2 linked regions of the Zea mays genome follow. The protein of the gene in region 1 binds, or shares a complex with, the protein of each later gene. Links are inferred from orthologs where the notes say so. Each region holds a gene or a part of one and is shown on either strand. Other genes may lie near its edges. The genes, in order: Nuclear-pore anchor and Nuclear pore complex protein NUP35.

The links.
Region 2: Nuclear-pore anchor (region 1) and Nuclear pore complex protein NUP35 share a complex: the UniProt entries of both Arabidopsis thaliana proteins name them as parts of the nuclear pore complex. The link is inferred for Zea mays from reciprocal best matches to the Arabidopsis thaliana genes NUA and AT3G16310.

The regions. Positions count from the first base shown.
Region 1 is NC_050099.1:187,942,348-187,946,167, forward strand, and holds the end of Nuclear-pore anchor, read left to right. Parts: intron 1-1,472; coding exon 1,473-1,535; intron 1,536-1,693; coding exon 1,694-1,871; intron 1,872-2,032; coding exon of another isoform or gene 2,033-2,038; coding exon 2,039-3,228; intron 3,229-3,311; coding exon 3,312-3,365; 3' UTR 3,366-3,565; downstream 3,566-3,820. UniProt on the Arabidopsis thaliana protein: Component of the nuclear pore complex. Acts as a docking site for activities required for desumoylation and mRNA export. Required for the proper expression or localization of a subset of miRNAs.
Region 2 is NC_050103.1:23,275,456-23,279,838, reverse strand, and holds the start of Nuclear pore complex protein NUP35, read right to left. Parts: upstream 2,942-4,383; 5' UTR 2,843-2,941; coding exon 2,316-2,842; intron 339-2,315; coding exon 227-338; intron 1-226. Other genes in the region: uncharacterized protein LOC100274262, read left to right, coding at 3,087-3,296, 3,411-3,455.

The sequences.
Region 1 (3,820 bases):
GCGCGCGGTCGTCGGGCACGACGGCGCTGTCCCGCTCGTCGAGATCTGCCGGACGGGTGACTCCGTCTCCCAGCCCGCCACGGCCGGCGCGCTCAGGAACCTGTCGGAGGTGCGCCAGGCACTGGCCGACGACTGGAGGTGGGAGGCGGCGGGGAAGAAGGCCGCGCGAGCGGCTCTGTGGCCAGTTCCGCCAGGGAAAGAGGGCCTGCGCCGATGCACACCAAGGGTGGCGGCGCGCCAGCGCGGAGGAGGGGGCGACGTTCAGGGATGAGCCCGCGCCATGGCCGGGGAAGAAGGCTGCGGCCGCGCTGCTCCGTGGCCGGTTCCGCCGGGGGAAGAGGGCCCGCGCTGGAGGAGGGGGGCAGGCCGCGGCCACGCCAGCGCGGAGGAGGGGGACAGACGCGGAGGTCCGCGCCCACGCCAGTGGTGGATCTGGACCGGCGGACTGGGGACCTCCCGGGGACGGCGGAGCGGAAGCTGGTGGCCGGCGGCTTGGGCGTTGGGATGAGCTGGCGGCTGTAGGAGGGAAGCGTGGGAAACCTAGCCCTCTGATACCATATTGGAATGTGGAATGCTTGTTGTATTGCATAGGAGATGGGGTACAATATATAGACTCACAAGAAACCCTAACCCTAATGGGCCGGCAGCCCAACAGTGGTGCCAGCCCACACACACACATAGTCTAACAGTCAGATTGCAGCAACTACTCAGCTTAATTTCATTACCACAGAGGAAGCTAAGGATGGGGGTAGGCATATATAGGGCAAGGATGTGCCTTGTAAAGGAACTAAGAAAATAGAAATAACAGAATACCAAATTCCACATACCTCTATCTTCTTCCGTTCTGCCTTCTTCCGCCCTCTTCTCTTTTGGAATTCATCTCGCCGCCGCCGCTGACTCGTCGGGACGTAACATTCCTCTACCCACTCCATATACTGTTGCTCCCTCTCTCCACCCTCAGTCAAGGCTGACACTGGAGGATGAGCTGAATAGCTCGATAGGATGTCTACCTCTGTCCTGCACCACCATTCGTCCATCCTGCCTTAGATCCCTTCAATCACCAAGCTTTGCCCTCTGTGGACAACAAGGTCGAACTCCTTGTTCCTGGAATTGGGGTTGCTGGGGTTAGGCAGTTTTCTTTGATTTGGGGCTGTGTGAGGTAAGTTTGAGGTTACGCTTGGAAGCCCAAACACTAAGATTTTTTGTGCAGCAGATTGTCAAAAGGTGAAAGGCGGCTATATGAACTTTGTCAAAGTTAGAGAAGTTTGACTTAGGACAAACTAAGACTTTATTTACATTTTCTAAAGAGAGGAACTATGTTACCGTTTTTCTGAAACATAGGAACCAAGTTGCAAATTTGACTGTCCTTGTTCAAAACTATATATTTTAAAATTAGAAGTAATTATAAATTGTTCCTGATTTTTTGTGGGTTGCCTTCGATCGAAGTACTGATTGCGAGCATTGATTTACAGGACAAGAAACAAGTAGAGGAGTCTATAGATAAGCATAAGCAGGCTGTGAGAGAGTTGATTGAGGTACACTTTTGAATGCATTTTTTATGGCAAGTTACTGGACAAATGTTTCAATTTTTCCTCTTTGTTTAAATGATCCCTAACTTTGATAAAAGAATACATCAAACATTGTCTTATGTCCTTCTATATCAGAACTGAAAGTTACAACACATTCTTTTCAGAATTATCCTGGATTATCATCTGAAGTGCCACCTATCTCTGCACTAGAAGAGCAACTTCTTTCATACTTCCGTGCAGCTAAAGATATGGAGGAATCTTCTAGTCCCTTCCGTGATGGTGCAGCAACTCAAACTCCAGTTGTTGAAACTGCCCCTGTGGATGCACCTACTTCAGCTGGAGGTGATTCAGTATTAATTTTGTTCTGACATTGCTGCCATTCTATTCATTTTGTAATGATTCAGTACTCATAAGTCATTCTGAAGCATTTGATGTTGTTTCCTATGTGATGACATTTGATTCATTACTCTTCCGGTCAATGTGGGAGCTGATAAGTCGTTCAGTTGCAGGACGTCCAGTAGATACTTCGTCAAGGCCAGCTAAAGCTAAAATGACGGAAGAAAGAGCAGTTCCCAAACCAAGCAGTGAAGTACGTAGGCCTGGAGGAAGAAGACCCCTTGTTCGTCCTACTCTTGAACGAACTGAAGAACCTCATGCTGATACAGATATATCAGCTGTTGATGCCTCCACAGTTCAGGACAAAGGGGGGCCACCAGCAGAGCAAGAAACTTCTGGAATTTTACCTGTGTTACAGCCTTTGAGTCGTAAACGGCTTATCACATCTTCACAGACGGTAGACAGTGCCTCGCAGGGTGAGGCTAATGATGTCAATCCTCCATCTAAGAAGCCCAAGGAGGAAGAATCTTCACAAGGGACTAGTGAACTCAAAAGTGGTCAACCACCTCTTGGGGATGTAGCGGCACAGGTTAATGTGCTTCCAGCCACTGATGACCTAGATGGACAACAGCCTACAGAAGAGATCGATACTGATCAGGCACCTGAGCCAATGGTAGAGGTTGAGGCAACAAGGGAAGAGGATGGGGGTGATAAAGATGACTCTGGAGATGCATCAACGGACATCAAAGGCCAGGATGCTGATGCTAATATTGACGCAAATGCAATTCCTTTAGAAGAAGAGCATGTAGTGGCAAAGTCAGAGGCAATAATTGAATCATTTGATGATGACCGGAAAACAGAAGATTCGAAGGAAGATGCTCAGCGTACTACTGCAACTGATGTTGATGATGACATGGAGGAGGGAGAGTTGGCAGAGGAACCTGAAGACAAGAGTGACGTTGATATGTCAGAGATCGAGGGTGAGGCTACAGCCGAACGTGCTGCTGTGGAACCGGACCAAAGTCCTATAACACAACCTGGTGCAGCTGATGCCTCACCAAGCAGAACTGCAGATGCATCTCCTGCTCGTGAACCTTCCCCTAGTCCGGTCCAAGCTGGTGCATCTTCTCGACCCCAGAATACTAGCACTGCAACAGAGGCACGTGAACCTTCCTCTAACCCAGCCCAAGCTGGTGCGTCTTCTGAACAGCGGAACACCAGTACTGTAGTGGAGGCTGCTGAAACTCGTTCCAGAACAATCAACTTAAGTGAGAGGGCCAGACAAAACAGGCAAACCAGGTTTCAACGCGCACAACAACCTGGCACTGCTCGGGGTCGTGGCCAGCAATCTGTTACACTCAGGGTATGGTTTCTTTATTCTTGTTCATTTCAGTTGGGTGCTTATATCCAGCATTGAGCTGATTCGGGGCTGCCTTTGTTTTGCAGAAAGATGCTACGGGTCGAGGATCAAGGGGCCGCGGGGGGCGTGGTCAGTCCTAGTAAAGTAGATTGTCTTTTCTCGTGCAGGGATAATTTTGTCCATTGGGATAGAGACCCTTGTATTTTTAGATTGATCGACGAACTTCATGGGGATACAGAGACCCTTGTGTTTTTAGATTGATCGACGAATTTTGTCTCATTGGTTTTTACTAAATGTTCCCTGACCTGCGTGCGAATCCTTGTGGGTTCTGAGACCGCTATATCTAATCCAAACTGTTGTGTTTGTTGGTACTATGGGCTGGAGCTGCACCTCCTGAATCCCAATAGCACTAGCATTTTTCACATAGCCATAAAAATGATGCTACGTGAAGCATTCCTTGGGGTGGATCCCTACCCGGGCTTCTAAACCACGACTTTATACATGACTTTCATTTCTCTTTGTATATGGACTAAAATGACTTGTTAGTGTTTATACACCCCTTCTAAATATGCATGACTTTCATTTCTCTTAGGCT
Region 2 (4,383 bases), on another chromosome or scaffold:
TTATTTTACCATAAGAGATACTTTAATAATGTCATTTATTTTATTATTTGCACAAAAGAACTGAATAATACAGAATAGTCAAACATGAAATCTACACATCAAAAGTGTCATCTATTTTGGGACGGAGGGAGCACTGTATTAGTTTAGGTCTATTCTCAGTGATGACTATCTGTTCGCATCTACACGTCAAACATGAAAATGTGTGAATAGAGCTGTTAATAGTTACCTGATACAAGATATGCACCCAGTTCGCATCCCTTGGACCAAGAACATGTCTCAAGACTATCCCACACTTCTCAAATTCTCGCAGCACCATGTTAGTATCACCAGGAAAAAATCTGAAATAAAAAAAGAGATGGAATGGAAGACTAATAAAAAATGGAATAAATTATAACACTAAAACACCATTAACATCCAACCATCACACCCATTCAAGCTATTCAGATGTTCAGAGAATCAAGCGCGCAAGGGCATTCTGGTGGTGGTGGCTTATGGATAGCATGATTTTTCAAAAGCACATGATCAACCAAAGTTCTCTGCTTCAAAATACTAGGTGTATTATAATTTTAGAAGCAACTTTATAGATTTTGACGAATGATTACTCAAATTATATGTATGCTTAGGGTTAGTTTGGAAACTTAAATCTCCTCCGGGATTCCCGGAGATTGAGTGGGAAATTAGCTCATCCCCCCCCCCCCCCCCCCCCCCCCCAAGTCCCCGGGAATCCCGGAGGGGATTAAAGTTTCCAAACTAGCCCTTAGTAAATAAAAGTTGCATCAATAGATTCACATTTGAACAAACAGATTTTGAAGCAATTGATGACATAATGTAAGAGTAATCCAAAATCAACATCGAAGTATGCTTCTAAATATTTTCCCCCAAATCCTAACACACCTTGTAAACAGAAATAGATAAGTGTAGACACCTGTATTTCAAGTTTCAACATTTAGGGTACCATATAGTGCAGCAGTGCATGTAAATGTAGGTGAGAAAATAGAATAAAAACTAAATCAGTACAAGAGGGGAGATCCTAAAACTGTATGATTAATATTTGTTGGGATTTTCCTCTCCTAAGTTTGAAAAACTGTGCACTAAAAAGTAAAATCCCTATATATAATGCATGTTTCCATTCCCCACCAACATGTAGCCAACTTTATCAGTATGACACTAACAAAAGGTGTGCTTTATCATGGGAGAGGATAAGTGGATAACCAATCTATTGGATATGAGCATTGTGTAACTCTATCACATGGGAAAAGAAGAACATGATCTGATAGAAGGCACATCAACAAACACCATTGAACAAAATATGAAGTATCCTGGTTTAAAACTGATACTAGCAGAATCTACTAATAAACTACCACATCTGTTACAAATTGTAAGTCGTTCTGGCTTTTATAGGTACATAGATTTTGCTACACACCTACATATGCAGTATGTCAAGATACATAGTAAAATCTATGTATCTAAAAAAGATAAAACAACTTACAATTTGGACCAGAGGGAGTAGATTAATACCCCTTGACGTTATTGTTCTAGGTTCGCAGACAACTACATTTATTTTAACCCATGAGGCATGATCCAATTTTCACATGCTACCTTCAACACTAGAGAGCTAGAAGCTATCAAAAGTGCCACAAACTCAGCAAAAAATTCCACCAATCAGCGTTGAACTCAATCACGTCAATAGCCATACTCTAGCTTCATCATTAAAATCACCAAAAGTAAATCAGACCTTATCGATTCACAAATTTGCAAACCCGACCAAGGGGTGAGAGTACCGGTATTATGTCCCAACATGGCTAATAAACCCAAACTGCAAACATGCCGGCACTCGAACTCATGACCTCTAAAGTTCCTCATAGTAACTTGCTTGTCAAAGATAAAAATCCAACATATTAAATGGTTAAAATGTATTTTCAATTAGGAAACTTAATCTGTTGGTCCCTGTTTAGACAATGTTGGTAATGTAGGCATCAAAATCATCTTGTACCCTACTGTACTATGTTCTCTGAATCTCTGGAGTTATGTTGGGGGTAAGAAGTCCATAGACCGATGATATAAAATTCTTGGAAATCTGCATGCTTATGTTCAAAGGGGAACTCTCTGGCAGCATCAGATGAGTGTTTAAGAAACATTACCAATTCCACACGCACAGATGCCATAACCAGCCTCTAAGCGTACTGTACTATACTAATCTAATTACAAAACGAAACATAAAACTGTATGAATCTAATGCAGCAGATTATTATACAATAATCCACACATCCTACCATACCCATTGCATCGACTTAGCTGGGGGCGAGGCAACATACCCGAAAACGGTGACCCACTCCTCCTCGTCGACCCGTCCAGCAGCCGGAGCCGAATCTCTGGGCATCTCCGGCCGCGCCACCTCCCTGGGGGGCGGCAGCGTGATCAGCGCTACCTTCTGCTGCTGTGACTGCTGACCCGACGGCGTCGTCGGGGACTGCTGCTGGTACTGCACGACGCCATCCATCGGTGATCCCTCCCTGGGATTCTCCTCCCTCGAGGGGGTCCACCATGCCGAGGGCCCCGGCGAGCCGTTGGACCGCAGCGGCGAGGAGAAGAGAACGGCTCCACGCGGGGGCTGAGGCGAGGGGGTCGTCGTCGCCTGCGGAGGCGTGGCCGGCTGCCTGGAGGGGGAGAGGTGGGAGAGGTCGTCGAGGGAGAGCAGCGGCGGAGGCGGCGGCGGGGTGGAGGCCTGCGCCTCTCGCCGCATCGAGGCCGGTGGGAGGCGAAACGACGAGGAGATCGGGGACGAGAGGTCCCGCAGGAACGGCGGGTGGCGGCGACGGTGATCCGGCCTGGAGGCACTCATGACGGTGGCGGAGAGCTGAAACCCTAGCAAGAGAAAGCGGAGTTCCACTGCCGAGTGCGCCTTGGGTTTTTGGAAGCCTCACGTGTGTGAATGTGAAGAGGCAAACAGAACGCTTGTGTCACCAACATGTGGACCCTAGAACTTTACAGGTCCCACATGTCGGAGTGCTGGCGTTTTGATTCTCGGCTCTACTCGAAGGCGATGAAGAAATTAAGAATACGCCAGGCTCCTTGTCGCTCGTAAAATGGAGGTCGCGACGGCGACGGAGGCGTCTGCGCCGGCGGCAAGCGGCGGCGCGGCGGGGCAGGGCCACCCGTTCCCGTGGCTAGACGCTGCCATCTCTGAGCCCTACTACTTCCTGCATCTCCTCGCCTTCTTCTCTTACTTTGCGGCCCGCAGCGCGGCGCTCTCCGCCGACGACGGAGGGGAGCTCCACGACCGCCTCCTCCGTAGGGTAAGCTTCGGAGATCCCCGTGTGCCCGATCCGGATCGTGTCATTCGGTTGGTTGTTGAGTTGTGTTGGCTCATCCGCTCATGCGAATCGGTGTTGATGTGCTTGGTTTTGCAGGAGATCCAGGCAGTGCTCGTGTTCCTGGTGCTCTTCGTAGTGAAGGTGTGATGATCAATTCCAGCTAGAATTCTATTGCGAGCTTATTTTCTGAGTAGCATGCTTGGATTTGGTGTTAAAATTGGTGGGAGTAGCTGTTCTGTTGCTCTAAAACGTGGATTGCAATGCTGTTATGCGTGCCTTCATATTTGTTATGTTACACGGATAAGGACTTTGGGTGTTTCTTCTATCTTTTGCATTTTATAAACCAGTCAACCTGCGACTTGAGATGTTAAACTTGATGTCTCAGTAAATTTTAAAACAAAAGGGTCACATTGTTAGGCGATTGCATGGATTGCTTTTGTGGTAGAATTAGGTTTGCTATGAGGTTAGATTGCATCATATTGAAAGATGCAAGATTCGTTGAAGTAATAGCAATGCAGGTTGGTATGTGAGAGACAATGTTATGCTATTCCTTGTGGGATACTTTCTCTTATTGCAAATATGCATATAGATTTGCTTGTGCCTTTATCTTTTTGCCATTAGAAGTCGATTATCCACACACTATAGGAATTTCTTGCTATTCCTTGTGTGATACTTCTCCATATTTATGGCAAATATGCATAGAGTCCCAAGTACACCTTATCTTTTTTTCTTTGCTCGAAGTGGATTATTTGCATGCTCGAGGAATGTTCATTGCTGAAGTTCCACATTGATTCGTAAGAAAAGAAATTTTCCTAGGTGGATTTTTATTATTTTTGTGCTTCGTTCTCCACATGCTCAAATGCACAATCAGATTATCACAATATTTATTTTGGAGTCTATTTTGGTATGGCTTGATGATTGTGTAAAAGCTCGTGATGATGTATGTTTTACAGCATCTCCAACAGTGACCTAAATGAGTGCCTCAAATTAAAATATAGGGCTTTTTCTAAAAAAAGTACTTCAATCGTGCCTTATTTTAACAAAAAATGTCAAAAAGATATAGGGCAAC